Linked DNA regions of Anolis sagrei. The protein of the gene in region 3 interacts with the protein of the main gene of each other region in a biochemical or structural test. Links are inferred from orthologs where the notes say so. Each region holds a gene or a part of one and is shown on either strand. Other genes may lie near its edges.

Region 1 (7,535 bases), on a different chromosome or scaffold from region 3:
TTGATTGCCCCCAGGTATGAAAGAAATTTAATAAATTGTCATTGCTCAGTTTGAAGTCTTGTGTCTGTTTCTCATTCCGCCTTTCATGACAGTAGGGAGGAAATAATATGAGTGAATCAGAGGTAATGGGATTTGATGGCTCTGCTCCTGTCTGGCCAGAACAGGACAATGGGTTTTGACTGACCATACAATGAGTGCTGAGTATGTTGGCACTCTTTGAATGGGATTCCCAGGGAGGGGATCTGATCTGGCAATCGGGATGAGGAAATGTTCCCAGGAAAATACTGAGATAAAATCTGGAAAGAACCCTGTGGCTCTTTCTGAGTTCCAGGGCATTGTGAAGGGAGTAGGGTTATTCTTAATGTTGAGCCCTGCCCTGCAGTGTGGGGTGTGTATGTAGTGCTTATGCAACTATTGGTGAGTTAGGGATCCTGGTGTTTCGATAACACAGCCTCTGTTTAAAATCCTCCAAAGAAGAAGCCATCACTGGTGGAGTTTCACTGTTGAAAAGCTGCTACAGTCAGAAAGCTCTTCCTAATGTTCAGGAGGAATCTCCTTTCCTATAACTTCAACCCATTACCTGGAATCCTATGACTTCATCATATATGCTGCCGAAATTGCCACAGATCATGGTGAATCTGACATTGCCCAGCAGGGGGTATCCGTTGCCCCACAACCTGCATCACCCAACTTCCCCCCTACCTCATCCTATGGGGGGGAAGTGCTTGCCACCCAACTTCCCCGTTGATCCCAATGCAACACAAGAGCCTCCCATGTTGACACATTGGCGGCATATGCTGCTTCCTCTTCGGTGTTGTGACGGAGCCCCGCCAGAAGTGCTTCCAAGTCATGTGGTGGGATCTGACAGACTCAGTCGCAAAACTGCAGAGGAACTGGAGTATCCCACCGAAAATAGCCCCAAATTATGAGGTTGTTAGTTTCCAGGGCAGCAGAAAACGAGCCCACTCCCTCTTTCTTGTGACATCCTTTCAAATGTTCAAACATGGCTATCTTAACTCTTCTCAACCTTCTCTTCTGCAGGCTAAACATGCCAAGTTTTAAAACCACTCCTAATAGGGCATTGCTCCAGACATTTGATCATTTTAAGTGTTTTCCTCGGGACACATTCAGCTTGTCAATATCCTTCTTGAATGGTGGTGATCAGAACGGGACACAGTATTCCAGGTGAGGTCTGACTAAAGCGGAATAGAGGGACACCACAACTTCCCTTGATCTAGAGGCTTGGTTTCCAACATGGGGAACATGCCCCACAGGGGGGCAATTTGATTTTTAAAGGGAGCTATTCGAGAATGAGTTAATAACAGTGAATGTTTTGCATTGTCTAGGGGCCTTGTATAGTAAAGGTTTTCCCGACAGAAAGTCTAGTTGTGTCCCACTCTGGGTAGTGGTGCTTATCTCAATTTCTAAGCTGAAGAGCTGGCATTGTCCGTAAACACCTATGAGGTCATGCAGCCAGCCTGGAGCGCTGTTACCTTCCCATCGTAGCAGTACCTATTGATCTACTCACATCTGCATGTTTTTGAACTGTTAGATTGGCAGAAGCTGGGGCTAATAGTGGGAGCTCACACCACTCCCTGGATTTGGACCACCAGCCTTTGTCAGCAAGTTCAGCAGCTCAGTGTTTTAACCCACCGCGCCAATGGGGGCCTCATATATACACTATATAAGTATATATTGTGACATACACATTTTAAAAATGTTGTAGTGTTTTCTTCCTCAGAAGTTCAGCTGTCATTCTGTTCTTTTATTTTTCTCTTTCACGAATGTCATGTTCTTTGGAAGCTTGTTTAGACCAAGTTAATGGCCTTTTAGGCTTCCTCCGTGTGAATAGGAATTTACTTTTTGAATAAGAATTACAGTAGAGTCTCGCTTATCCAACCTTCGCGTATCCAAAGTTCTGTATTAACCAACGCAGTCTGCCACCCACAGGGATTCACAGGTGAGGAAAATGGAGTGTATGTTTACTTGTGGAATAATGACCAGGGTGGGAGAAAGAAAGAACCCTTGCCTGTTTTGGTGCTAAATTGGTCAATACGGTAATTACTACATAATGTTACTGTGTACTGAATGGCGTTTTCTGTCGATTTGTTGTAAAGCATGATGTTTTGATGTTTAATTTGTAAAATCATACAGTGGCCCCTCGCTTATTGTGGGTGTTATGTTCCAGGACCATTCACAATAAGTGTAATTCCGTGAAGTAGGGACACCACCTCCCCTTCCCTCCTCGCCCTCTTTACCTTCTTCTGCCTCCTCGTCACCATCTGGGCCTCTTATCACTGCTTGGGCCCTGCAACACCTCCGCTGCCTCCTCAATCGCAGGGCCCAAGCGGCAGCAAGAGGCCCAGGTGGGGAGGAGGAGGAGGAGGAGGAGGAAGGTAAAAAGGGCAAAGGGGCAGCTCTTCTTCCCTCCTCGCCCTCTTTACCTTCCTCTTCTTCCTTCTCATTGCTGCCTGGGCCTCTTACCACTGCTTGGGTCTCGCGACACTTCCTCAATTGCAGGGCCCAAGCGGCGGCAAGAGGCCCAGGTGGAAATGAGGAGGAGGAAGAGGAAGGTAAAGAGGGCAAGGGACCACTGTAATGTAATTTGACATTTCATAGGCTTTTCCTTAATCCCTTCTTATTATCCAACATTTTCGCTTATCCAACATTCTGCCAGCCCGTTTATGTTGGATAAGTGAGATTCTACTGTATAGGTAGTCCCCATGTTACAAACATCTGACTTACAAATGACTCATAATTAGGAATGTGGGTGAGACAAGAAGTGAGAGAAATCTCACCCTCAGAAAGGAAATTCACTTCTGAAAGAGTTATCATAGGGATATCTCTGCTGATAATTATTTATTTATTGTGTCATCAGCAACCAGACATTTGTATTACATTTTTAACAAAACAAACAAACAGACAGACAAAACACAAAGTTTGCAAGCTTGGTAGTTGATTAAATGTCCTTTGACCAGTATCTGGCCACTTGGAGTGCCTCTGGTGTTGCCGCAAGGAGGTCCTCCATTGTGCATGTTGCAGGGCTCAGGTTGCATTGCAGCAGGTGGTCAGTGGTTTGCTCCTCTCCACACTCGCATGTTGCGGATTCCACTTTGTAGCCCCATTTCTTAAGATTGGCTCTGCATCTCGTGGTGCCAGAGCGCAGTCTGTTCAGCGCCTTCCAAGTTGCCCAGTTTTCTGTGTGCCCAGGGGGAGTCTCTCATTTGGTATCAGCCACTGGTTGAGGTTCTGGGTTTGAGCCTGCCACTTTTGAACTCTCGCTTGCTGGGGTGTTCTATGCTGATGCTTTCTCACAAATCCTTGTTTCCAGAAGACAAATTTCAAAATCCAATTATCACAGGGACAGAAAGTGAGGTAACATCTTCTGAACAGGGACACAGACAGCAAAGCAAACACTACAAGGGTGTCAACACTTCTCTGTGCTATCCAAAACTTATACATAAAGTATATATATTTGGCTGGAGTTACACTTTAAAATGTACCTGTTCTGACTTACATACAAATTCAACTTAAGAACAAATTTGGGAACCACTGAATCATAGAATCATAGATTTGGAAGAGACCTCATGGGCCATCCAGTCCAACCCCCTGCCAAGAAGCAGGAAAATTGCATTCAAAGTACCCCTGACAGATGGCTATCCAGCCTCTGTTTAAAAGTCTCCAAAGGAGGAGCCTTCACCACACTCTGGGGCAGAAAGTTCCACTGCTGAACAACTCTCACAGTCAGGAAATTCTTCCTCATGTTCAGATGGAATCTCCTTTCTTGTAGTTTGAAGCCATTGTTCTGCGTCCTATTCTCCAGGGAAGCAGAAAGCAAGCTTGTTCCCTCCTCCCTATGACTTCTTCTCACATATTTATACATAGCTATCATGTCTACCCTCATCCTTCTCTTCTTCAGGGTAAACATGTCCAGCTCTTTAAGCCACTCCTCATAGAGCTTGTTCTCCAGACGCTTGATCATGTTACTCGTCCTCTTCTGGACACATTCCAGCTTGTCAATATCTTGCTTCAATGGTGGTGCCCAGAACTGGACACAGTATTCCAGGTGTGGTCTAACCAAGGCAGAATGGAGGGGTAGCATGACTTCCCTGGATCTTGACACTAGACTATTGATGCAGGCCAAAATCCCATTGGCTTTTTTTAGACACTACACTTCTTTTGATGTAAAACCCCATTGGCTTTTTTAGTTGCTGCATCCCACAACTTGTGGTCTTCTAAGCCTCCAAGAGGGTCGTTTCCCCCCTTCCCTTCCCTTCCTTTCACGTGGGTTCCCCTCGAGGCGCCGCCATCTCCTCCTTTCCCCCTTAAAAGGGAAGCCAGGCACAACCAGGAGTCGGTTGAGCGCGAAACCACCTTAACAGCCTCGCTGCCTCCCTTTTGCGAAGGACGGGGCTGAGTCTGTGGCAGGGCTTGGCTGCTGCGTTGCCATGACGAGCTTTTCCTCCAAGCAGGCGGGACTCCGCTTGGGGAAAGGCTGGGTTTGAAAAGAGAGAGAGAGAGAGAGAGGCGGGGAGGGGGACAGGCGGGGGGACCCACGGCGCTGCGGCTTCGCAGAGTTTGAAGGAAACCCAAGAGGAGCCAGCCTCTCCTTTCCTTTCTCCTCCCAAACTCGGAGCGGAGGAGAGCCGCGGTCCGAAAGCGCTGCGCTTCCTCCCAGGCGCCCTCTCCTCTGCTCTGCTCTCCCCTCCTCCTCGTCCTCCTCCTTCCCGCCCCCTTCCTCCTCCTCCTCCTCCTCCTCCTCCTCCTCCTCCTCCTCTATGGAAATCCAGGGGTTTTCCCCAGCCTGTGGCAGACTAGAGGACTGGAGGCGGAGGAAAGGCAGCGGGAGCAGCAGCAGCAGCAGCGCGTGAAGCGGCTCAGCTTCTCTTCTGGGGCCGTGAAGTTGGGCAGCGGCTGGGCGGGTCGCCCTCTTCGTCTCCCAGAGCCCAAGTAAGCCGGGGAGGCTCCCCAATCCCCCTTTTCTCTCGCTTGACTTGTGGGCTCTCCGGGTTTGGGGATGATGGGAGGGGAAGCCAGGGCGGGGAGGCTGCGGCAAAGACTCGATTCCTGTCCTGGAGGGAGGCCGGGTGGGGACGCAGGGAAGGAGGGAGGAAGGAAGGAGAGGCCCGCCTCGGGAGGGACAAACAACAGCAGCAGCAGCCAAGCCCTGCTTGGTGAACCGCCTTCGTCCCGGGCTTTCCGCTTCAGGAAAGTGTGATTTCCCCGGGCTGGGCGCGAACGAGGCGTGGAAAAATCAGGGTGTTCCCTGCGTCCGGTGCGAAATTGCCGACGAAGAGGGAATCTTGGGCGGAGGAGAAGGAAGGGGAGGGGAAAGGAAAGGAGGCGGACTCGGGCCCAAATCATGCAGTGCAGACCCACATCATGGAGTCCCTTCCACGCCGTTGTATGAGTTGTGTGGTCAGTGCAGGAGAGGCGCCCACTCTGCAGGAAACAAGTCCACACTGAGCATACAATGCGTGGTTTTTGGAGAGGCCCCTTCCTTCCCTTGTGGGGAGAAATAACCCCTCGCCCCAGACTGTGGAGTTTCTAAGCGCCCTTCCACACAGAATATCAAGGCAGGAGATCCCACAATATCTGCTTTGAGCTGGGTTATCTGAGCCTAATGTGGGATTTTCTGAGATATAGGGCTCTGTGGAAGGGCCCAATGGGGTTGGGTTGCTGTGAGTTTTCAGGGCTGTATGCCCATGTTCCAGAAGCATTCTCTCCTGACGTTTCACCTACATTTATGGCAGAGGTTGAGGGGTCTGTTGGAAACTTAAGTGAGGTTTATATATCTGTGGAATGCCCAGGGTGGGAGAAAGAACTCTTGTCTGCTTGGAGGTACGTGTGAATGTTGCACTTGGTCACCTTGCTTAGCATTGAATGGCCTGCTGTTTGAAGGCAGTTTCAACCCCTTTCGTAGAGGTTTATTTTTTCTTAGAGGAGCCCCCTCCCCCCCCGTGGAGCAAGTCCTCACCCTGGAGTTACCCCACATCGGTCTTGATCACTTCGGTCGTCCTGCTCTCATTTTTTTTCGTGTCAAGAGCGACTTGAGAAACTGCAAGTCGCTTCTGGTGCGAGAGAATTGGCCGTCTGCAAGGACGTTGCCCAAGGGATGCCCGGATGTTTTTGATGTTTTTACCATCCTAGTGGGAGGCTTCTCTCATGTCCCCGCATGAGGAGCTGGAGCTAGCAGAGGGAGCTCATCCACGCTCTCCCCGGATTAGAACCTGCGACCTGTGGGTCTTCAGTTCTGCCAGCCCAAGGGTTTAACCCATTGCACCACCTGGGCCCCTTCTCTACCTAGGGCACATTCTTCCAGGTGAGGCCTGCCCCAAAGCAGACGACGACACCCACTTTCTCTCTCTCTCTCTCTCTCTCCCGCCCGGCTATTCCCAGCACAGTCACCCGATTCTTCCTCTCCTTTGGGCAGCACAATGCCGGGTCTGTGCCTTTTGCGAGGGCAGTTTGGGGCGTGGAGTGCGAAAAGGGAGCGCCTTTTCCGGCCCGGTGTGTTTGCCCTCGTCTACACTGGAGGACGAGCGCAGTTTGGACCCTTCCCCGCTGGAGGATTTGGTACAATGTATCGTCGAAGCCTTTCATGGCTGGAATCACTGGGTTGTTGTAGGTTTTTCGGACTGTATGGCCATGTTCTAAAAGCATTCTCTCCTGACGTTTCGCCTGCATCTATGGCAGGCATCCTCAGAGGTTGTGAGGTCTTACAGACCACATAACAGACCTCACAACCTCTGAGGATGGCTGCCATAGATGCAGGCGAAACGTCAGGAGAGAATGCTTCTAGAACATGGCCATATAGCCCGAAAAACCTACAACAACCCAGGATTTGGTACAGTTTGGCCAGAGGGAGGCGTGGGCTCTCCCAACGCCTTCCTTCTGCAGCGGAGGGGCAACCCAAAGGTGTCTCTGACCCAGAATGGACCCTTCTGGACCCCACTTCTGTGGCTCGAGGTTGTGGCGTCCCCGGGGGGGGGGGGGGTTGTCCTTTTGGTGAAGCCGAGAAGGCTGAGTTTGGACTTTCTGAAACCGCGCTTCCCGTGATCCCACAGCATCGAAGTGGTGTGTCAGAATGAATGGATGTACCCCACTACAGTGCTCATATCATGCAGAATCAAAACTGCTTTCGGTAAAGGTTTTCTCCTGACATTAAGTCTAGACTCGGGGAGGGGGGGGGGGTTGGTGCTCATCTCCATTTCTAAGCCAAAGAGCCGGCGTTGTCCGTAGACACCTCCAAGGTCATGCGGCCGGCGTGACTACATGGAGTGTCGTTACTTTCCCATCAAAGTGGTACCTATTGATCTACCCACACTGGCATGTTTTCGAACTGCTAGGTCGGCAGAAGCTGGGGCTAACAGCGGGAGCTCACGCCGCTCCCTGGATTCAAACCTGAGACTTTTCGTTTATAACTGCATTATAGATCCACCCTGAGTCTCCTGTGCCACACTGACCAATGGGCTACTGGCTGGCAGCTCGACAGGTCGGGGGTGGGAGAAGGAGAGAGAGAGCTAGCTTGCTGA
Region 2 (7,779 bases), on a different chromosome or scaffold from region 3:
CTTGGAATTCAGTAAACTGCTTTTCTTGGATGAATTATGTTGTGCGTCCTCTTGATTCCTGCCTGTGCTCGCTCACCGGTTGCAAGCCAAGCTTTGGCTGAGGGCCCAATTGGGCAAAAGGGTCTGCTACAATTCTGCATTATAGAATTAATGCAGTTTGACCCCTCTTGACCTGCCATGGCTCAATGCTGTGGCAATTGTAGCCTTACATGGTCTTTTGCCTTCTGTGCCAAAGAGTCCTGATGGCTTACCAAACTACAACTTCCATTATTTCACAGCACTGAGCTGTGGTAATTAAAGTGGTGTCAAAGTGCATTGATTCTACAGTGTAAATGCACCCAAAGTTCTGCCATGGACAATATTATCAATAGGTCCTGTGTTGTTGTCCTTGGAGAGGAACAATTTGGGGAAGTCAGTCGTCCAGGCAGGAAGTGTTAATAGACTGCCTGCTCCTTTTTAGAGATTTTCAAACAATTGTGGTTGCAATGAGAATGCAGCTTTCATTGTTTTGTCTCATTTGCCAAAGATATATCAACAGCAATCATTAAAGGCATTGCATGCACATTTGGGAGGATCTTTCAAGGAAGAGTGGCCATCCCTCAAGGAAACATTAAATACAATTTAATAACAGAAAGGCTGTCACAAAAGAAGTCTTTTCATAATTTAAAGCTTGCTGTCTCATTTTTTACAAAGGCCCAAAGAGAAACTACCATCAACTGCTAAAGCCATATTGGAATATCAGATCTTACTAACATATGAGAGAAACCTTATTGTAGCCGTTCGTCCACATTTGCACTTTCGACTTTTGTGGATTAGATTACTCTATGTAACACGATTTTAGTTCTTAGCTCCTCATGCGGGGACATGAGAGAAGCCTCCCCAAGGATGATAAAAACATCAAATCATCCGGGCGTCCCCTGGCCAATGTCCTTGCAGACGGCCAATTCTCTCACACCCGAAGCGACTTGCAGTTTCTCAGGTTGCTCCTGACACGACAAAAAAAGGTTCTTGGGTTATAAATATCATTTCTTAATTGGTTCTGTGATTAAAAACATGGGAAAAGTTTATTAAACTGCAAAAACGTTGGTTTTGTGAGACATCCTGCAGCATATTTTGCTATTGTTTTTCAATGAATATCTCACAGGGCTGGGCTTTAGCACAGTGGGTTAAATTGCCAGTTGCAGAAAATCTTGCAGATCGAAAGGTTGACAGTTCAAGCCTGGGTTGGGGTGAGCTCCTGTCAGTCCAGCTTCTGCTCACCTAGTATTTTGAAAACAGCAATGTTAGTAGATAAATATGTATCGCTTTGGCTGGGAGGTAATAAAAGGCACCATGTGGACATGTCGGCAATTCAATCAGGAGAGCGTCTGGGGACAACAAAGCTCCTCGGCATGGAAGATGGAGCAACAGCATGACTCCATGGCCGGAGTCAAGCACTGCTTCCAGATGGAAAAAGATGGGAAGCCTTTACCTCTCTTTATGTACTTTCTGCCTTGGTTAATTGTATAACGGCATTGAATGTTTGCCGTATATGTGTACTGTAATCTGCCCTGAGTTCCCTCAAGAAGATAGGGCAGAATATAAATAAAGTATATTAATATTATAGAGTCTCAATCAATTCAACTTAGTTTGTGGCATTCATGAAAACGAAGATTCTGGAGTATAACAGCTAATTGCAAAGTAAATACTGCACAACTAAACAGGAAATAACACTTTCAAACCAGGCACAGAGTTTTGTTAAATAGTGTTATTCATGGATTTGATTAAAAATATTATCTCTGTGAATTTCAAGGTCCTTCAATACAATCCTGTGGTTGGTTTACAGTGGATATTGGTTCTAGATTAATTTTGGAAGATCTGGAAACTCCTAGAGAGATTTGCTCAGGTTAAAAAATAGTAATTTGAGCTTCTTTACTTTCCCAGTGGTCCCGTACCTCTATCCCCTACGAATGTGGAAGGGTGGCTCTATTACATACTGACAAATATTTGCAAGGGGAAACCTGTTGTGCCACTTATTCCCCACATCACAATTATGATATGATGATAACAAATATGGGGTATGGATCATGTTGGTACAAGAATGCAGGTAAATATCACACAAAATGTGCTGTGTCTGGTTATATCTTAATTTGCAATTTGGACATTTCTTCCATGTTTCCCCTTTGTATTGATATCTAAAGACTTGTAGCTCTTGTCCCAAGTTTCCAGTTCTCCCATGAGTGTTGCATTACCACAATTTTGATTCCCGAGCTGTAGAAATATTGAAGCAAACCTTTTCAGGAAGTTATATTTCTTTGGTGAAAAACTATCTGGGGTCTTGGGCAAAAGTCTAATTTTTTGTATATCTTCCAGTAGTGCTGTTTAGATATCCAGGGCCCATCTAGAACAAACATTTTGGCATTCATAACTATTCCTGGCCCCTCTGTGTCCTTGTGGTTTACTTGTGTCCTTTCTTCCTTCGCAATCTCATGCCGGAGGCTTAGTTTGTGTACAAAAAACTTGACATTTCTCTGAGGCCCCCATCCAAGGACATGAAAACCTGTTAGTTTTGTTTTCATTACTCTCATCGTGTTTTGCTCTCCGTCGTAAGGTTCACTTTTTCAAGCTCTGCAACCATCTCCTCTGGTTTCCTGATGACTTTTTTGGGGGAAGGAAGCAGCTGCAAACTCTTTCATCAAACGCAGTTTTGCTTGAACAGCCTGCAATTGTTGTCTAAAGGCAGACACTCTTCTTTACTGTGACAACTGTGGTTGCATCAATTTCATATGTTCTCCAGCAGTCACTTCACCACTAAACCACTAAGCCAAATGGAGTCATAGCACTGCCTGGCTCAGTGCTATGACACCTTGGGAGATGTAGTTTTGCAAGACCTTTAAAGTTCTCTATGAGTGCTGATGCCTCCTCAAACTACAACTTCCAGGATCCCAGAGCATTGAGACAGGACAGTTCAAATAGTGTCAAACTGCAGTAATTCTAGCGTTGATGCATCCTTAATTTTTAATTGAAGGATGCAGCTAAACCAGGCATGGGCAAACTTCGGCTCTTCAGGTGTTTCAGACTTCAATTCACACAATTCCTAACAGCCTACTGTGTATACAATATATTATATTATCAGCACAACACAATACTAGTATTATACATTACTATATTGCACTATACCACTATAGTAAAGGTAGGTAAAAGTTTTCCCCTGGCATTAAGTCCAGTCGGGTCTGACTCTGGGGTGTGGTGCTCATCTCCATTTCTAAGCCGAAGAGCTGGCGTTGTCCGTAGATACCTCCAAGGTCATGTGGCCAGCATGACTGCATGGAGTGCCGTTACCTTCCTGCTGGAGTGGTACCTATTGATCTACTCAAATTTGCATGTTTTCGAACTGCTAGGTTGGCAGAGGCTGGGAGTGAAAGCGGGAGCTCACACCGCACCCTGAATTTGAACCTGCAACCTTTTGGTCAACAGGTTTAGCAGCTCAGCTAAACCCACTGCATTGACCCACTGCGCCACTGGGGGCTCTCTGATATAGCACTATACTTTATAAGGAAACACAACATACAAACTATCTTCAGACCCACCAAGAAAATCCAACAAATGCTACGTTCAGCAAAGGACAAGAGGGATCCTCTCACCTCTGCAGGAGTCTACCTGTACCATGCAGCTGTGGACAAGTCTACATAGGGACCACCAAACGCAGCATTGCCCAAACACAAATCAAGGAACATGAAAGGCACTGCAAACTACTTCAATCAGAGAAGTCAGCCATAGCAGAGCACCTGATGAACCAATCGGGGCACAGCATATTATTTGAGAACACAGAAATGCTGGACCACTCTCACAACCACCATGTCAGACTACATAGATAAGCCATTGAAATCCACAAGCATGTGGACAATTTCAACAGAAAGGAGGAAACCATGAAAATGAACAAAATCTGGCTACCAATATTTAAAAAAAAACTCTAACATTACAACAGCAAAACAACAGAGGGGAAACAATCAGGCACATCTAATTACCTCTCAACAAAAGATTGCCCCAGGCACTACTAATCAAGGTGGTCAGTTGAAACATTCACACCTAGCTCCAACAGACAAGAGTTCTTTGCCCCACCCTGGTCATTCCACAGATATATAAATCCACTTTATTAGTTCCAATGGACCTCACTACCTCTGAGGATGCTTGCCATAGATGCAGGCGCAACGTCAGGAGAAAATGCCTCTAGAACATGGCCATATAGCCCAAAAAAAACGTACAACAACCCACTATATTTTACCTTTACTTATAATGGTCTTTCTTTGCCCATGTGGAGAAACACCTTCTAGCAGCTCATGAAGCAAAAGCACACTCCAATCTGTCACTTTGTGCTTCTCTCCAAGCGCCTGTATAGCTCATGCCTGAAAAATGTAACAGTAACCAAAAGTCCCAGACTCAGCTAGTTTCCCCAATCAGCTTGTACATCTTATTTTACAGTTGACACACACACTAACTGATTTCTTTACATGCTCCAACAACTGTTATTATTATGATGCTGTGGAAGGTTGCAGTCTGACAAGACCTTTAACCTTCTCATCCCCAATGATTCAATGGCATTGAGCAGAAGGCATTATAGTGGAGACACAGTGTATCCACTCTTCAGTGTAGAGATGCAGGCAGCGTGCTTCTTTTATCTCTACCTGCCTGTCTCCGGGGCTCCCCCTAGCGGCGACGGCTGTCCCTGCCGGTGTCAGCTTTCCCGGAAGCGCCCTCCCTCCCTCCCTGCCTGCTTGCCTGGCTCCTCCCTGCAGCCAGTGGCAGCCCTTGCTTCCCGGCGAGGCTCCGCTTCCTTTCTCCCGGCTCACACCACCCCGATCGCAGCGTGTCCTTGGCGGGGAGAGCCCTCTTCCTCCTGGGCTCATGGAGGCGCCCTATTCCCGCGGGCAGAAGGAAAACCCGCTCCGCCAGGCCGGCTTATGCTCTCGGATCTTCTTCTGGTGAGCCTGGAGGGTCCTGACTTGGGAGGATTCCTTCCCTGTTGCAATATTGAGCCTAAAGGCGAAGTGGATATCTATATCTGAGCTTATATTGGATATAGATTATATAAAACCGCGCGCCAGGCAGTCATGCCGGCCACATGACCTTGGAGGCGTCTACGGACAACGCCGGCTCTTTGGCTTAGCAATGGAGATGAGCCCCAGGGCTGAAAAAGTTGGGATCAGGGAAAAGTTGAGCATCTACACCAGCCATGGGCAAACTTGGGCTCTCCAGGTGTTTTGGACTTCAACTCCCATGATTCCTAACAGCCGGTAGGCTGTTAGGAATCATGGGAGTTGAAGTCCAAAACACCTGGAGAGCCCAAGTTTGCCCATGCCTGATCTACACTGCACGTTGACACCACTTTATGCTATGGCATCCCTGGGAGTTGTAGTTCCACAAGGTGCTGGTGCCTCTCCAAACTACATCTCCCATGTCTCCATAGCCTTGGCAGATAAAATGGTCTCGATCTGCACCCATTCTAGTGTAGATTAGATGCACCTTGTGCCAAGTCTGTCCCTGACCTCAGGGCAAGTTGTAATTCACTTTCTCTCTTTATCTGTTGGTTCCTTTGTCTTCAGGGCAATGCTTTCTTGGAGGAAATGGGCTTTCTGGGCTTGGCTTCCCAAGCAGGGCCTGCCTAGCGCCAGGTCTACGGGAAATGATTCATAAATTCTCATTGGAACTTCGGTGCTTTCTTCCAAGATCAAAGAGGAGTGTGGAGACTCCTAAATCTGTCAGGATTCTCTAGGCTTCCGCCAGACCTCAGGAGTGAGGCACTATAAACATTTTTTTTAAAGTTGAAGATACAATATTTTATTTCAGGGGGAGGCTTTAAAGTTGGTAAATGGGACAAAAAGTGCATCTTCTCTGTAGAATGAATGCGTTTTGACACCATTTCAACTTCCATGAGGTCATGGGAGTTGTCGTTTTGCAAAGTCTTTAGCTTCTCTGCCAAACTGCCAATCTTAGGAATTTTTGTGTGTGTCAGGAGCAACTTATTTATTTATTTATTATTTACTATATTTGTATACCACCCTTCTCTGCCCTCAGGTGACTAAGGGTGGTTTACAATGGCAATGATTCAATGACCAAAAACACCATAAAACATTTAAAAACATAAATAATTGAGAAACTGCAAGTTACTTCTGGTGTGAGAGAATTGGCCATCTGCAAGGATGTTGCCCAGGGGACGCCCAGATCTTTTACCATCCTGTGGGGGGCTTCTCCCATGTGCCCAATTTTAGGATTCCAAAGCATTGAGCTTGGCAGTTAAAGTAACCTCAAACTGCATCACTTCCGCAGTGTAGATGCACCCAAAGTGTGTATAGAAAGCTGTGACACTGTACCGTTGAATTAAAATGTTATACAACTTAAATTTAGTAAAGTCATCAGGCGTAAGTTATTTTATTTGAGTGAAAATCCATAATTATTCATAATAATAATAATAATAATAATAATAATAATAATAATAGGGTTGTTGTAGGTTTTTTCAGGCTATATGGCCATGGTCTAGAGGCATTCTCTCCTTACATTTCGCCTGCATCTATGGCAAGCATCCTCAGAGGTAGTGAGGTCTGTTGGAACTAGGAAAAAGGGTTTATATATCTGTGGAATGACCAGGGTGGGACAAAGGATTCTTGTCTGTTGATTCGTGTTTGGGCGCTGCATTTGGTGGTCCCTGTGTAGACTTGTCCACAGCTGCATGGTATACGGTAGACTCCTGCTGAAACTAGAGGATCCCTCTTGTCCTTTGCTGAACGTAGCATTTGTTGGATTTTCTTGGTGGGTCTGTAGATAGTTTGTATGTTGAGTTTCCTCATCAGCTTCCCTATGCGGTCAGTGGTTCCCTTGATGTATGGCAAGAACATTTTTCCTCTGGGTGGATCTTTGTCTTTACTCTCGTGGCTTGTTCTTGGTCTTGCAGCTCTTCTGATGTCTGAGGTGGAGTATCCATTGGCCTGGAGAGCCCAGTTGAGGTGGTTCAGTTCATCTTGGAGGAGGTGGGGTTCGCAGATTCTTTTTGCATGGTCTTCCAAGGCTTTAATGGTGCTTCTTTTTTGACTTGGGTGATGGTTGGGGTTTTTATGTAGATATCTATCTTTTTATGTAGATATCTATCTGCCTCTAGACCATGGCCATATAGCCCGAAAAAACCTACAACAACCCAGTGATCCCGGCCATGAAAGCCTTCGACAATACAATAATAATAATGTTTATTATTCAGGAGCCCCCAGTGGCACAGCTGGTTAAACTGCTGAGTTGCTGAACTTGATGACCAAAAGGTCAGCGGTTTGAATCCAGGGAGCGGGGTGAGCTCCTGCTGTTAGCCCCACTGAAAGATCGGCAGTTTGAATCCAGGAAGCGGGGTAAGCTCCAGCTGTTGGCCCCAGCTCCAGCCAATCTAGCAGTCAGTAGATGCAAATGTCAGTAGATCAATAAGTACCGCTTCTGTGGGAAGGTAATGGTACTCCATGTAGTTATGCTGGCCACATGACCTTGGAGGTGTCTATGGACAACGCTGGCTCTTTGGCTTAGAAATGAGATGAGCACTCCCTGATGGCTCTTTGGCTTAGAAATGGAGATGAGCACCACCCCGCAGAGTCGGACACGACTAGGTTTAATGTCAAGGGGAAACCTTTACCTTTATTTATTATTCGTCAGTCCTTTTGGCTCAAGGAGGGGCACAGCATAGTAAATACACCTTGTGAAAGCACATATTAAAAGATAGTTGAAATGCAACAATTAAAGCATATATACACTTATTGATATACATGA
Region 3 (7,735 bases):
CAGTTTCAATTCAATACCTTCTTGCTGTGGAACAAAGAAACTTCTGTTTGAGAGGCTTTGCCTCCCAACAAAAATTCTCCCAGATTTTCTCTCTGCAAGAAAATGCATGTAAGGATCACAGACACACATCCCGAAACTGGAAGTCAAATTCCTAATTCATAAAAGCATAAAATTGGGGGGAGGGGATCAAGAACATAGGCCATGAACTCAAAACGAAATACATATAACTTCCCTTCCTCCAATAGAAAAAAAATACTACAGGGTGGGCCGAAAGTCACAAAGGGGCTTCAATATTTAAGAACTCCTTTATTTTAGAATAAACATTATATACAATACATAAATAAATAAATAAAACTACATTATCTGCAAAATCTTGTTTTTTCATTGCTTTAAAAAGTCATCAAAAACATCAGACATCTTTGTGACTTTTGGCCCACACTGTGTATTAGCGATCTCCAAAAGAAGAAAAAATACCATTAGCCTATTTTTGGGGAATTATTTCCCCCACCCACCTCAGACTTCAGGCATCCAGATTTCCTCCATCTGCGCCGAGTTCTTCCAGCAACGTTTTAAATCCCAAGAGTGGATTTTTTTCCTCCCCAACAAAAAAACGAAAGCAAAGGGGAGAAGCAACAACTCTCAGTTGGGAGTGCCAGGGGGAAAAAGAGAGGCCAAATAAGCTCTTCTTGTTGTTGTTTGGGGGGGGGAGTTTTTGTTTCCTTTCCAAAACCCTTTTCTCCCCTTCACTTTTTCCTCTTAAGTTGAAAAGAAAAGGCCTCTAGAGTCTCTTCTACTCTTCTTTCTCTGTGTATTTTACTCCCTTTTCCTTGGTTTTTTTTATTCTTTTTGTTGCTTCCTTTCCACACAACACTTTCCTCCTCTTCACTTTTTTTCCCACTCAGTGGAGAAAAGATCTTGTCTAATCTCTGTTTCTCTCCCTTCTTCTCCTTTCCGTCTCTTCTTCTTCTTGGGAGGACTTTCCCTGGTGCTTCCTTTGCACAAAACTCCTTTCTCCCCTTTTGGTCGAGAAGGGGACAAAAAAAATCTCTTCTTTTCTTCTGCCTGATTATATCCTTTATTCTCTTCCTCGTTTAAGTCTCTTCTTCTTGGGGGGACTTTCCTTGGTGCTTCCTTTCCACAAAACCCCTTCCTCCTCTTCACTTTTCCCCTCTCAGTCGAGAAGGGAACCAAAGAAGTCTTTCCTTCTCTCTGATTAGATCCGTTCTTCTCCTCCTTTCCGTGTTTCAGCCTCTTCTTCTTCTTGCTTTTGTCCTGGTTTGTTATCCTTTTCCAAAACTCACTCCAGTTGTGAAGAAGGAGAGAAAAGCTCTCGTCGAGTCTCTCCCTCTCTCTTCACCTCCTTCTTCCTCTGTTTCAGTCTCTTCTTGCAGTGTTTTTTTTTCCTTGACGTTGTTGTATCCTTTCAACAACTCACTCCAGTTGTGTAGATGGGGAAAAAGCTCTCGCCCGGTCTCAATTTTTTGTGTGTTTCAGTCCCCTTTTTCTCCTTCTCTTCTTCTTGCGTTTGCCGTTGTTTGTTGTACCCTTCCCACAACTCACTCCTGTTGTGAAGAAGGGGAGAAAAGCTCTCGTCGGGTCTCAGTCTTCGCGTGTTTCAGTCTCCTTTTTTTGCAACCTCCTTCTTCCCGTTTCAGTCTCTTCTTGCGGTGTTTTATTTCCTTGTTTGTTGTATCCTTTCCACAACTCACTCCAGTTGTGTAGAGGGGAGAAAAGCTCTAATTGAGTCTCAATATCTGCTTGTTTCAATCTCCTTTTTCTCCTCCTCGTTCTTCCCCTGTTTCAGTCTCTTCTTGCGGTGTTTTTCCCCCTTGTTGTTTGTTGTATCCTTTCCACAACTCACTCCAGTTGTGTAGAGAGGAGAAAAGCTCTGTGTGTGTTTCAGTCTCCTTTTTCTCCTCCTCCTTCTTCCCCTGTTTCTGTCTCTTCTTGCGGTGTTTTTCCCCCTTGTCGTTTGTTGTATCTTGCGGTGTTTTATTTCCTTGTTTGCTGTATCCTTTCCACAACTCACTCCAGTTGTGTAGAGAGGAGAAAAGCTCTCGTTGAGTCCCAATTTCTGTGTGTTTCAGTCTCCTTTTTCTCCTCCTCCTTCTTCCCCTGTTTCAGTCTCTTCCTGCGGTGTATTTTTTTCCTCTTGTCGTTTGTTGTATCCTTTCCACAACTCACTTGTACAGAGGAGAGAAAAGCTCAATCTCTGCGTGTTTCAGTCCCTTTTTCTCCTCCTTCTTTCCGTGTTTCAGTCTCTTCTTTCTTGCGGCGTTTTTCCCCCCTTGTTGTATCCTTTCCTGTTGCGAAGAAGGGGGAGGAAAGGTCTCCTCGCGATAATACTCTTGCGGGTTTTTCCCCCCACCTTGTTGTATCCTTTCCAATTGCGAAGAAGAAGGGGGGGGGGAGGAGAGGTCTCGTCGAGTCTCCTCCTTTCTCTCTCTCTTTCCGCCCTGACAAAATATGCGGTTTCAGGTGCCTCAAACGCCGCCCAGTCCCGGCTGAGGAGTCATTTCCTGCCCCTCATGAAACCCAACTGAGGCCTGCTTTCCCCGGCCTCTTGGAGGCCCAAACCCTCCTTCCTTCCTTCCCTCACGAGGCCTTGGATGCTGTCGTCGCCTCCTTCACTGCTACTAGGAAGGGAAAGCGAGATGGAGGCGCAACAAGCCCCTTCCTTCCCTCCTTCCTTCCTTCTCTCCTCCTCCTCCTTTTCCTTTCTTCCCCTGCTTCCTCTGCCTCACACTCGACTCCTCCTCCTCACACTTCCCCCTTCCTTCCTTCTTTCCCCATTATTCCCGCCCTCAGCAGCTCTCTCTCTCTCTCTCTCTCTGTATGAGGTGTTTCTCTCCTCAAAGGGCGGAGGAAGGGAGGGAGGAAGCAGCAACAGCTCAAGAGGGCGGCGGGCGTTACTATTACTACTACTACGCGGCTTTTGCGCCTCCGCCCAGGCCAGAGAGAGAGAGACTGAGAGAGGCCTTCCCTCCCTCCTCCTCCCTTTTCAGACTTTTCTTTCCCCCTCAGAGCCAGACAACAAGTCTGGCAATGGGCGACGCGCCTCAGCCAATCCGGAGAGAGGAGACTCCCGTCGCAGCCAATCAGGTGGCGCTCTCAAGGTTTGGCCGGGAAGGAAGGGAGGAAAAAGATCAGGTTAGGGTGTGAGGAATAAGAAAAAAAAATCTCTCTCTCTATATATAAAGATAGGTAGGAGGGAAGGAGAGGAAAGGGTTTTTTTTTTTTGTCACTTAGGTTTGGAGGGGAAATAATAATTTATTTATTTATTTGCTTTACTTTACTTGTATACTGCAGTTTCTCAGCCCAGCAGGCGACTCAAGGCGGTTTACAACAAGGAAAACATCAATCAACAATATACAATTTAAAACCATAAAAGCATAATATACAATATTGACACAACAACAGGTAGCACAATGCATCTCATAACATAACAGAGTCGCGATCCAATCCGTCATCTAACTAAAATGATAAAAGGTCTGGAGAACAAGCCCTATGAGGAGCGGCTTAAGGAGCTGGGCATGTTTAGCCTGAAGAAGAGAAGGCTGAGAGGGGATATGATAGCCATGTATAAATATGTGAGAGGAAGCCACAGGGAGGAGGGAGCAAGCTTGTTTTCTGCTTCCTTGGAGACTAGGACGCGGAACAATGGCTTCAAACTACAAGAGAGGAGATTCCATCTGAACATGAGGAAGAACTTCCTGACTGTGAGAGCCGTTCAGCAGTGGAACTCTCTGCCCCGGAGTGTGGTGGAGGCTCCTTCTTTGGAAGCTTTTAAACAGAGGCTGGATGGCCATCTGTCAGGGGTGATTTGAATGCAATATTCCTGCTTCTTGGCAGGGGGTTGGACTGGATGGCCCATGAGGTCTCTTCCAACTCTTTGATTCTATGATTCTATGATCCAAATTTCCATTCCTGTAATAAATTATTTCCTCTCCAAATAAATAATTTATTATTATTTCCTCTCCAAACCTAAGTGACAAAAAAAAACTTATTATTTCCTCTCCAGTACGCATGCCTAGTGTGGAACACATCTCACCACACTAAAACAGTAGATGTGGCTCTTAATGAGACATGCCGCATTATCACAGGGTGTCTGCGCCCCACACCACTGGAGAAATTACACTGCTTAGCTGGTATTGCACCACCTTACATCCGCCGGGAAGTAGCAGCCAATAGTGAAAGGACCAAGGCAGAGACATCTCCAGCTCATCCCCTGTTTGGGTTTCAGTCAGCACGTCAACGACTCAAATCAAGAAATAGTTTTCTTAGATCTACAGAGACACTCGCTGAAACACCTCAGCAAGCAAGAGTCCAAAAGTGGCAGGCCCAAACCCAGCACCTCAATCTGTGGGTGATGCCAGATGAGAGACTCCCCCCTGGGCACACAGAAGACTGGGCGACTTGGAAGGCGCTGAGCAGTCAGCGCTCTGGCACCACGAGATGCAGAGCCAACCTTCAGAAATGGGGCTACAAAGTGGAATCCACGGCATGCGAGTGTGGAGAAGAACAAACCACTGACCATCTGCTGCAATGCACCCTGAGCCCTGCCACATGCACAATGGAGGACCTTCTTGCGGCAACACCAGAGGCGCTCCAAGTGGCCAGATACTGGTCAAAGGACATTTAATCAACTACCAAGTTTGCAAAATCTGTGTTTTTTTAAATCTATTTGTTTGTTTTGTTCTGTTAGAAATGTAATACAATGGTATGGTTGCTGATGACACGATAAATACATTTTCTCTCCAAAGAAATGCTGGACCACTCTTACAACCACCATGTCAGACTACACAGGGAAGCCACTGAAATCCACAAGCATGTGGACAATTTCAACAGAAAGGAAGAAACCATGAAAATGAACAAAATCTGGCTACCAGTATTAAAAAACTCAAAAATTACAGCAGCAAAACAACAGAGAGTAAACAATCAGGCACATCTAATCACCTCTCAACAAAAGACTGCCCCAGGCACTGCCAGGCTATCAAATGCTAATCAAGGTGGTCAGTTGAAACATTCACACCTAGCTCCAGCAGACAAGAGTTCTTTGTCCCACCCTGGTCATTCCACAAATATATAAACCCATTTTCCTACTTCCAACAGACCTCACTACCTCTGAGGATGCTTGTCATAGATGCAGGCGAAACGTCAGGAAAAAATGCCTCTAGAACATGGCCATATAGCCCGGAAAAACCAACAACCTAATAATAAAGAGTTTGAATAGAGGACAAGTCAGGAGACCACTTTCAATCCTTGGGGAGGGGATAAGAAAGGGAAGAGGGTTTTAGTATTTGCATAAAGGAGAGTGAAACAGAAAGGTGTATACATAGGAGATATATAGATATAGGACTCAGTCACACACAGAATAGAGGGGTAGCATTACTTCCCTAACACAGTGTCTAGATATAGGGAAGTCATGCTACCCCTCTATTCTGCTTTGGTTAGACCACACCTGGAATATTGTGTCCAATTCTGGGCACCACAATTCAACAGAGATATTGACAAGCTGGAATGTGTCCAGAGGAGGGCGACTAAAATGATCAAGGGGCTGGAGAACAAGCCCTATGAGGAGCGGCTTAAGGAGCTGGGCATGTTTAGCCTGAAGAAGAGAGGAGATATTTATTTATTTATCATGTCATCAGCAACCATACCATTGTATTACAATTCAAACAGAGCAAAACAAACACACAGATTAAAAAGGGAAAAAAAGAGGAGATATGATAGCCATGTATAAATATGTGAGAGGAAGCCACAGGGAGGAGGGAGCAAGCTTGTTTTCTTCTTCCCTGGAGACTAGGATGCGAAACAATGGCTTCAAACTACAAGAGAGGAGATTCCATCTGAACATGAGGAAGAACTTCCTGACTGTGAGAGCCGTTCAGCAGTGGAACTCTCTGCCCCGGAGTGTGGTGGAGGCTCCTTCTTTGGAAGCTTTTAAACAGAGGCTGGATGGCCATCTGTCAGGGGTGATTTGAATGCAATATTATTATTATTATTATTATTATTATTATTAACTTTATTTGTACCCCGCGAGCATCTCCCGAAGGACTCGATGCGGCTTACACAGGCCGAAGCCACAACACACAATACAATAGAGAACGTAACAAGTAATAACGAAGCAAATCAAAAATCAAAAAGCAAATCAAAATCAGAAATTAGCGAGACAGCAATAACAATACATCAAGACATATTAAAACTGGTTCGGCCGGCGAGAGGGGTACAAGGTTAAAAGTGCTGAAATGGCAGGAGGGGCGTAGGAATTAAAGTATGGTGTGCAGCAATGTTAATTGTGCTAAAGTGCTACTAGGACTTGGGATAGGGATTCCTAATCTGGGAAGGCACAATGGAACAGCAAGTTTCCAAATATTCCTGCTTCTTGGCAGGGGGTTGGACTGGATGGCCCATGAGGTCTCTTCCAACTCTTTGATTCTATGATACTACAGCAACTTAAGCCCTTGGGAGTGTTTTGGACTCCCAACTCCCAGGGTAGGCTGTTAGGAATTGTGGAAGTTGGACTTCAAAACACCTGGAGGGCCAAAGTTTACTCATGCCTGCACTACAGAGTTATATTTTCCTTGGGAGCAAGGTTACAACAACATCTATTATAGAACTTCAGTATGCTGATGACAATGTCGTCTGTGCGCATTCAGAAGAAGACCTAAAAGCCACCCTAAACATCTCTGCAGAAGCATATGAGAAGCTCGGCCTGTCATTAAACATCGAGGAAACCAAAGTGCTCTTCCAGCAGTCACCAGCCAATCCCTCTCAAAGCCAACCTTAAAAACTCTGGCATAGACATTGAGAACTGGGAAGCCTTGGCCCTTGAGCGCTCCAGTTGGAGGTCAGCTGTGACCAGCAGTGCTGTAGAATTTGAAGAGGCTCGAATGGAGGGCGAAAGAGAGAAACATGTCAAGAGGAAGGCCTGTCAAGCCAACCCCGACCGGGACCGCCTTCCACCTGGAAACTGATGTCCTCACTATGGGAGAAGATGCAGGTCAAGAATAGGGCTCCACAGTCACTATGGACCCACCACCAGAACACCAACCTTGGAGGACCATCATCCTCGGACTACGAGGGATTGCCTAAGTAAGTAAGTAAACAGAGTTATAGTCACCCTCCAGAATCATGGCACACTCCCTCGTTGCCAGGGAAAATAGGCAAAATGGCAAATACCAGCCAGACTTTGAAGCTACAAGGCCATTCAATGCTAATCAAAGGTGGCCAATTGCAAGTCACACTTGCCCGAAGCAGACAGAGTCCTTTCTTCCACCCTGGACATTCCACAGATATATAAACTTAATTTGCCTAGTTTCCCACAGACCTCACAACATCTGAGGATGCCTGCCATAGATGTGGGCAAAACGTCAGGAGAGAATGCTTCTGGAACATGGCCATACAGCAGCCCAGTGATTCTGGCCATGAAAGCCTTCAACAACAAAATGGCAAAAATTACTAATGCGGAAGAATTTGCATGTTAGGAAAAGTTGCAGCAGTTTGCTTTTGCTTCAGCCTCCTGGGAAGAGCAAAAGTGGGCCTCCTTGCTGCAGCTGGACAAAATATGCCCCTACTCTTTAGAATTAATGCAGTTAGGCAACACTTTCACTCCCATGGCTCAAGAGCCACAGAATCATGAGATTTATAGTTTCGCAAGGTCTTTAGCCTTTCCTGGCAAAGACGACTGGTGTCTCACTAAACTTACAACCCCACAGATTTTATAGAACAGTGG
Region 4 (7,007 bases), on a different chromosome or scaffold from region 3:
GAACCAAGATTTGAAGATTTGAACCAAGATTTGTCCTGAGCAGCCTTCTCTGCCAAAGAAGTACAGTACAGGTGCCTCACCAGACTACAACTCCTGGGATTCAATTACAGAGTCAGTCAAAATGGGGTTAGATGAGCCATGCCAGCTCAAAAGGCGGGGGGGGGGGGGGGGGCGGGGCGGCGCGGGGAGGGTGTCTGACTGTGTAAATTCTATAGTGTAGTTTAGTTGGCCTGCACAACCTGCAGCCCTGCAGGTGTTTTGAAATTCCTGATCATTGGACAAGACGGACAGGGGTTCTGGAAGTTGGAGTCCCAAGCACCTGGAGAGTTGTGCATGCCTAGGTAGATACTCCCAGAAAGCTATAAATCCCAGGATTCCATAGTGTGGAGCCATGGTAGCTCAAGAGATGTCAAGTTGCCCAGGGAAACCAGAATGGCCCCCTTCCTGCTATCCTTTCGGCGGCATGCTAAAACCGTTTTATTCAGGCAGGCTTTTGAAAGAGGTTTTTAAGACCAAGTCCGGGGCTGCAGTGGTTTTAGCTCTGAATACGTTTTAAATCAGTTTTTAAGGATTTTAACTGTTTGCTTTTAATGCCATCAATATTCCATGTTTAGGTTTCCAATGGTATTGCACTGGTTGTATTGTAAGCCGCTTTGGGTCTCTTTTGTAGAGAGAGAAAGCGAGGTACAAATCAACATCATAAACATAATAATATGCTGCGTTAATTCTGAAGCGTAGAGGAAGAAGCGTGTGGAAAAGAGAAATCCAAGCAAGGACGTCAGAAGCCCTAGCAGACGCCACGCCCAGCAATTGCACCAATCAGGCGTGGTCTCTAGGCGGGTCAGCCAATCGGCGTGCCTGAGTACCGCAAGCCGGCTGAAGGGCGGGGGCGTGGTCTCCGGAGCCAAAGGCGAACCAATGAGTAGCTTTGGGAAGGGGGGGGGGGGGAGAGAGGCCAGACGGGTGCTTACTGTGGACTGTATGCAGTTTGACCCCACTTTAGCCGCCCTCCTGTTATGCTTTGGGGCCCCTGGAAGCTGTAGTTTGCATTCTGGCAAAGGAGGCTCAGGAACTTGTCAAATTCCAACTCCCAGGATGCCCTAGCACAGCAGTCCAAGAGGGGTCAAACTGCATTTATTCTACAGTGGAGATGCACCCTTGGGCAAAGACTTTGGAGATCGGAGTTCAAATCCCAGTTCAGGCTGCTAGGTGATTTGGGACAGGTCATACTCTCAGGTCCCTTCTACTCTGACATAATCCAGATTCTCAAAGCAGATAATCCACGTTATCTGCTTTGAAATGGATTGTATGTGTCTACACTGTCATATAATCCAGTTTGAACTGTATTGTAATGGTCACTGTAGACTCATATAATGCAGATTTTAATACATTGAACTGGAGTATATGAGTCTACATTGCCATATAATGCAGTCAATCTGCATTCTGAAACTGGATTATATGGCAGTGTTCGTGGGGCCCAGTGTCGTCTGCTAACATTGACACCACAGTGCTAGCTGTTTCCCATCTTTACCTGGGAGTAATTCTCAGTGGATACTGTGAGTCAGACCCAGATTATTCAAGCCTGGAATAGAGCCATTGCAATAACCAGACATTTGGCATTTGTAAATCCCTGCTCACTCTACTTTTAACTGCCATGGCTGTGTTCTGGGAAGTGTAGTTTATTGTGCATTTACATGGCAGAATTAATGCAATATTAACTCTATTTTGACTGCCATGGCTCAATGTGATGGAATCCTGAGAGTTGTAGTTTGGTAAGGCACCAGCGCACTCAGGAAGGGAAGGCTAAAGACCTTATGAATCTATGAGGGTTATCCAGAAAGTAAGGTTACAATATTTTTTTAATATAATGAATGAATATATTTTAATAAAACATACATGGATTATAGCATGTATAGCATTTTTCCACATAATCACCATTCAGTTCAATACATTTTGGCATCCGTGGAATGGGTTTGTGATGCCTGTGTCATAGAAGTTTTCCTCCACCTTTTTCAGCCAGTTCGTAACTTCAGTGTTCACCTCGTCGTCATCGGAAAAGTGTTTCCCACCAAGGTGTTCCTTCAATTTAGTTAACAAGTGATAGTCACTGGGTGCGAGATTGGGACTGTGAGAGGGGTGGCTTAAAACATCCCAACCAAATGAAGTCAACAACTCGTGTTGCATGAGCGGTGTGCGGACACGCATTGTCATGAAGAAGACAGACTCCTGTTATCAGCATCCCATGATGTTTTTTTTTGTTTTTTTTGGATGGCTCTGCAAAGTTTCTTCATGGTCTCACAATATATTCCGTACCCATTTTGTGACCTGTTGTCTTGACATTACATTCTCTCCATAAAGTAAAACAATTTTGTGTTGAATAGTAGCTGCATTCATGCCCTTAGCATTTAGGTAGCATATTACAGCGTGAACTTTTCACTTGGGGGGAAACAGAATGAGGATGCTCATCTCTAACCTTCACAATGCCATTTGATGAGCTACTGATGACAAACACTGCTCGTTCACTTCCACTGGCTTCCTGTTATAGGGCTGTGATACCAACTTCTCCTGAGAAAATTCCTCGCGAGAGTGTGCCTTGTAACCTTACTTTCCAGATAGCCCTTGTATAATTCCCATAATTCCATAGCATTGAGTCACAGCAGTTAAAGTGGTGTCAATACTACAGTGTAGTATTAAAGTGGTGCATTAATACTACAGTGTAGTTGTGCCCTTTCTTTCTTTCGGTAGTCTGTCCAGTTTCTACAGAGGGTGGGCAACATAGAAATGACCCACTCCTGCACCACTGGATCTTTTCTAGTAGAAAATACAAGATTTTCCTCCCCTTTCTGGCATTTTTTCACAGTTGGATTCTGCACTGACCTACACAGAAGCAGCCTCTTTGCTGAGTTCAAAGAGACTTACTGGGCATACCTGTCTCTCAACACAATGGTTAGTCCTAACTAGAATATATTCATACGATCAATCACATTTATGGAAATCTCGATTTTCCATGGACTCATTATTATAGTTGCTCTGCTCTAGTTGAGTGTAGTAATTAGCAGTTTAGGGTAGAATAATTCTGCAAAGGGTTTGTGTGTCCTGAAAGGAAAGTCTTGGCGAGATCAGTCAAAGCGTGTTCCCAGAGCAGAGCTCAGAGGCTTGTAGCCTTTGGTGAGCCCTTTGATTTGTTTCTAATAACTTTAGATTGGAAAAATGCAGTTGGAACAAGATGTTCCACAACAGTGGACAGATGGTAAGATCACCTCTGCCCTTGTTTCCTTTTGTATCTGATGGCAGAATGTAGATGCTTCAGAGTTTTCTATGGGAAAGGGGACAATGCAATATTTCATGAGTCCTTCTCCTAGGCCCCTTCTACACTGCCATATAATCCAGGCGATCAAAGCAGACAATCCACATTGAACTGGATTATATGAGTCTACACTGCCAGATAATCCAGTTCAAAGCAGATACTCTGGATTTTATATGGCAGTGTAGAAGGGGCCCTAGAGACCACTACTTAGGCTCCAATCCACACACTTGCTCCAAGTTGTTGGAGATCCCAAACACTTTTAAAGTGTGTATCTGTATTGGCTCTTAAATCACATATGCTTGCGAGAACCCCCCCCCCCCTTAATATTTCAAGGGTCTGTTGACTTCATGAAGTGTGCACAATATGTCATCCTTGGAAGGAATGTGCAATATGTGGTTTGTATAGCTTCTACAGGGTCTGGGCAAATTTGCAGCATATATACCCAGGGGACTTTGTGACCCACACAGTCAATTCATTTTGTGGTTGCTGGGGGGGATTATTATTATTCCGAAGGAAAGTAGTCAGTTACATATTTTTCCCTTAAGTAGGAACTTTCTGGGGTTGGGCATCCGTAATATTCTCCAAATGGGCAAAAAAGTCATTGGGTCTGAGAATCAGGAGGTGGGAAATCCATCATGACACCCATGCGCCTTCACAGACTCAGAGAGAGAGAGAGAGAGAGAGAGAGAGAGCAATTGAGCATGTGTGCTTCTTTCTCTCCCCCTCTGGATGCAGGAGGAATCCTGGGACGCGATTGCTGCCTTTCTGGCTTGTCTCCTATCCCCCTCCCTTTTGGCATCACAAGGAGAGGAGAGAGGAAGGGGGGGGGGGGAGAGGTTGACCCTCTGTTTCCCTGATCAATTGCTGAGTATTTGATTTGAAGGAGTCTCCTCCCCTTTCGACACCCGCCTCCTTTGCGATCGTGTGAAAGCCAGCCAGGCAGCAGGGAAGATAATCTATTCAGCTGAAGGCAGAGAAGAAGACAAGGAGGAGAGATGGTGAGCGGATTTGATTTGGGTCATGGGGTGGGGGGGCAGTGGGGGGAGAGGAATGAATGGGCCTGTGGGCTGTGTGCTTGGCTTGCTGCGAGGCGGACATTCCTCCTCCCCACCCTGCACAAGCTGGACCAGGCTGCTTTGTGTTTTTGGCTCAGAGAACTGCAGCTTCGGCTTCCCTCTCTGTTTTATTTTTCATGGCAGTGGGCTTGGAATCATCCCTGGCGGAGGATCATCATGTGCGGTTCTGGGCTCGTTGTTTCAAATGCGGCTGGATCACTAGGAGAAAGGCGTTTCTTTCTTTAAAAAAAAAAAAGATCCGCATATGCCAAGGGCTCAACAACCAGGCATTGTGCCCTGTGGGAAACCCTGCAATGCTCTGGGTTCCTGTCCTGGTTTGTCATGGAGGGAAGCTGGAGCCTTTCTCTCCCTCCCTCTCTCTCTTTGGGTTGCATTGTGCATGCCCAAGACCCAGCCATTCATTAAAGCCCCATTTCCTTGGTGGATGGTGGTTCTTCTCTCCCCTCAGCCTTCAGCTTTCTTATCCTCGGAAAGTGGCTTTTCTTCAACTTCTCTGATGCTTGCAGGGTTGAGGACAGTTGTAAAGAACTTGCGGGAACTCTTTGGGGGAGGGGGGGGGGGAGCAAGCTGCAACCCATCACCACAGTGTGGCTGAGTTTGCTGGAACCAAGGGAAACTCCTACTTACCTGCTTGTAAGATAGGCACAAGGAATGAGCTGGCAAGGGCTTCCTAAGGTTGCACCTCTCCTGCCTGCTTTCCTGAGAAAGACCCCCCACTGAGTGTAGTAGGGTTTACTTCTGAATAGGAGTATGTAAGGCAGGCAATATTGCAGTGGGTCTCACCCCATGCTGCAGAACCTTTCCTTGCTTTTTATTCTCCCTGGGGCTCATTGTGCTTTCTCCAGGGACCACTTGGATATTTCAGAACAGGAAATACTTGCAGATGAATGTGTATTTTCTTTTGCAGAGTGAGGACAAGGTTTATTTTGGTCCTGCTATTAAAAAGAGAGTCCTTCTCCTGGTGACAGCATATTGACGCGTGCTGATGGTATCAGCCCTGGGGTGGCATGCTGCAGTCTTGTTTAAGTGGGGCTTGGCAGTTTAAGCTCCTAGAGAGATTGGATGTGATCTAAGTTACAAAATTGTAGAAGAAGCCTGACTGTGTAGGAACTGGGCACTGATTTTTATACCACACTTCAGGAGTACGCAAATTGGGGGAGAGGATAGCTTTGGCATTAAGCTGCTTTCTCAGCATGCAATGTCTTTTGGAAACAGCACCCAAGGTTTAGCATGTTTTTGGCAAACTGGAAATGCTGGCTAATGCTGGAGAGCACTGTGAAAGAACAGCTGTTAGTCTCCATCTCTTTCATCAGATGTCCTTGTAATGTAGGAAATGGTTATATGATGTGCCCCGTTAAGCAAATGGTGCTGTAAGTTTTTCCTTGAAGAAACCAACTTGGTAACTCTTAAGAACACAGGCAAGTTAATTGTACTTCCAAGTCTTACTGCTGTAGAATTTCTGATCCGAGTCTTACTTATATGGTAGTTTTCAAGTGGTAGGTGCCACTTGCTTCTGCAGTCCAAAAAGTGAGGTTGAATCCATAAAAGTGCATGCTAAAATAAAAAAAAAAACCACTGGTACAATTCTTTTTTCCCTCCCCTCCCTTCCTCCATTTTATTTTTAACATATATGCTGTATTTTTTTCCAACCTTAATTCTGATCTAGCCATTGCTGCCACCATAAGTTACTGTAGCCCATCTTGACCCAGGTTGAAAGTTATGTATGCATCTTGGTTTTCACCTGGTTATTTAAAATTGCCTGCCAAAGGTTTTAAAAATGCAGTTTGTATGGAAGGAGTGGCACAAAGTTAGCAAAATGCAGCGCTGGTAACTCCCATTCTTTCTCCCACCTCTTTCTCTGCCGTGTCTTTCTGGCAGCACCAAATTCTTCTGTCACAACTGTAGTTAACAAATCACTCGCAATCTTACCTTGGAGATTGTCTATTTGTAAACTCATCATAGTTGTAGAAATCTAAATCGGTGCATCTTGTTTTTCTTTAGTGCAATTTGCTAAATCTCCATAAATGTCTCTCTGGAGGGTAGGTCTGCCTAGGCTCTGAAAACAAAAAATCTATCAGAAAACTTGTTAGAGCTGTTGTAACATCAGATCTATAATTTGTTGCTTTTAATATTTGATTGTATCAATATAAACCACTCACATAAACTATTAAGGAATTCCTTCTAGTTGCTAAAAGGAGGGGGGAAATGCTTACATGTTTCTTCTCCTCACATAATAAGATCACACTTGGGTTGTAAGAAACATTTATTTCTACTGGAAGCAATGATTGTTTCTGTCCCCTGATTTTCTTTTTACCTGAAGCTCAAGGATTCTCTGTGCCAGAAATGCAAAGGCTCAGGAATGGAGATTGGAAGGCAAAATGGTCCCTTGGATAGTAGCCCATCTGTCCCTTGGAAAGACTCTCCAAAGAGCCTGAGATGAACCTCTTTTGTTCTTCACAAGCATCACCTTATGCATCACACTCCCATTTTTACCTCCCCACTGCTTGACATGGTCCAAAGCAATTAGTATCTTTAAAAATGTTCAAAGTAATCAGATCTTCATTATATGATATTCTTGAGAACAGGAACTGAAAGTAGGATGTGATTTTGCACTTCTTTGTAAC

The links.
Region 1: the proteins of ERBIN (region 3) and ATP2B4 interact in a test that uses a peptide from one of them, tested with the Homo sapiens proteins (2 studies listed by BioGRID and IntAct). The link is inferred for Anolis sagrei from reciprocal best matches to the Homo sapiens genes ERBIN and ATP2B4.
Region 2: the proteins of ERBIN (region 3) and ABCC4 interact in a test that uses a peptide from one of them, tested with the Homo sapiens proteins (2 studies listed by BioGRID and IntAct). The link is inferred for Anolis sagrei from reciprocal best matches to the Homo sapiens genes ERBIN and ABCC4.
Region 4: the proteins of ERBIN (region 3) and ARVCF interact in a test that uses a peptide from one of them, tested with the Homo sapiens proteins (3 studies listed by BioGRID and IntAct, with this or other methods). The link is inferred for Anolis sagrei from reciprocal best matches to the Homo sapiens genes ERBIN and ARVCF.

Annotation. Positions count from the first base shown.
Region 1 is NC_090024.1:191,987,643-191,995,177, forward strand, and holds the start of ATP2B4 (plasma membrane calcium-transporting ATPase 4), read left to right. Parts: upstream 1-4,521; 5' UTR 4,522-4,950; intron 4,951-7,535. UniProt on the Homo sapiens protein: Calcium/calmodulin-regulated and magnesium-dependent enzyme that catalyzes the hydrolysis of ATP coupled with the transport of calcium out of the cell. By regulating sperm cell calcium homeostasis, may play a role in sperm motility.
Region 2 is NC_090023.1:126,651,510-126,659,288, reverse strand, and holds the start of ABCC4 (ATP-binding cassette sub-family C member 4), read left to right. Parts: upstream 1-4,774; 5' UTR 4,775-4,884; coding exon 4,885-4,961; intron 4,962-7,779. UniProt on the Homo sapiens protein: ATP-dependent transporter of the ATP-binding cassette (ABC) family that actively extrudes physiological compounds and xenobiotics from cells.
Region 3 is NC_090022.1:267,864,964-267,872,698, forward strand, and holds the start of ERBIN (erbin), read right to left. Parts: upstream 3,006-7,735; 5' UTR 513-3,005; intron 1-512. UniProt on the Homo sapiens protein: Acts as an adapter for the receptor ERBB2, in epithelia. By binding the unphosphorylated 'Tyr-1248' of receptor ERBB2, it may contribute to stabilize this unphosphorylated state.
Region 4 is NC_090034.1:35,513,448-35,520,454, reverse strand, and holds the start of ARVCF (splicing regulator ARVCF), read left to right. Parts: upstream 1-3,997; 5' UTR 3,998-4,305; intron 4,306-7,007. UniProt on the Homo sapiens protein: Contributes to the regulation of alternative splicing of pre-mRNAs.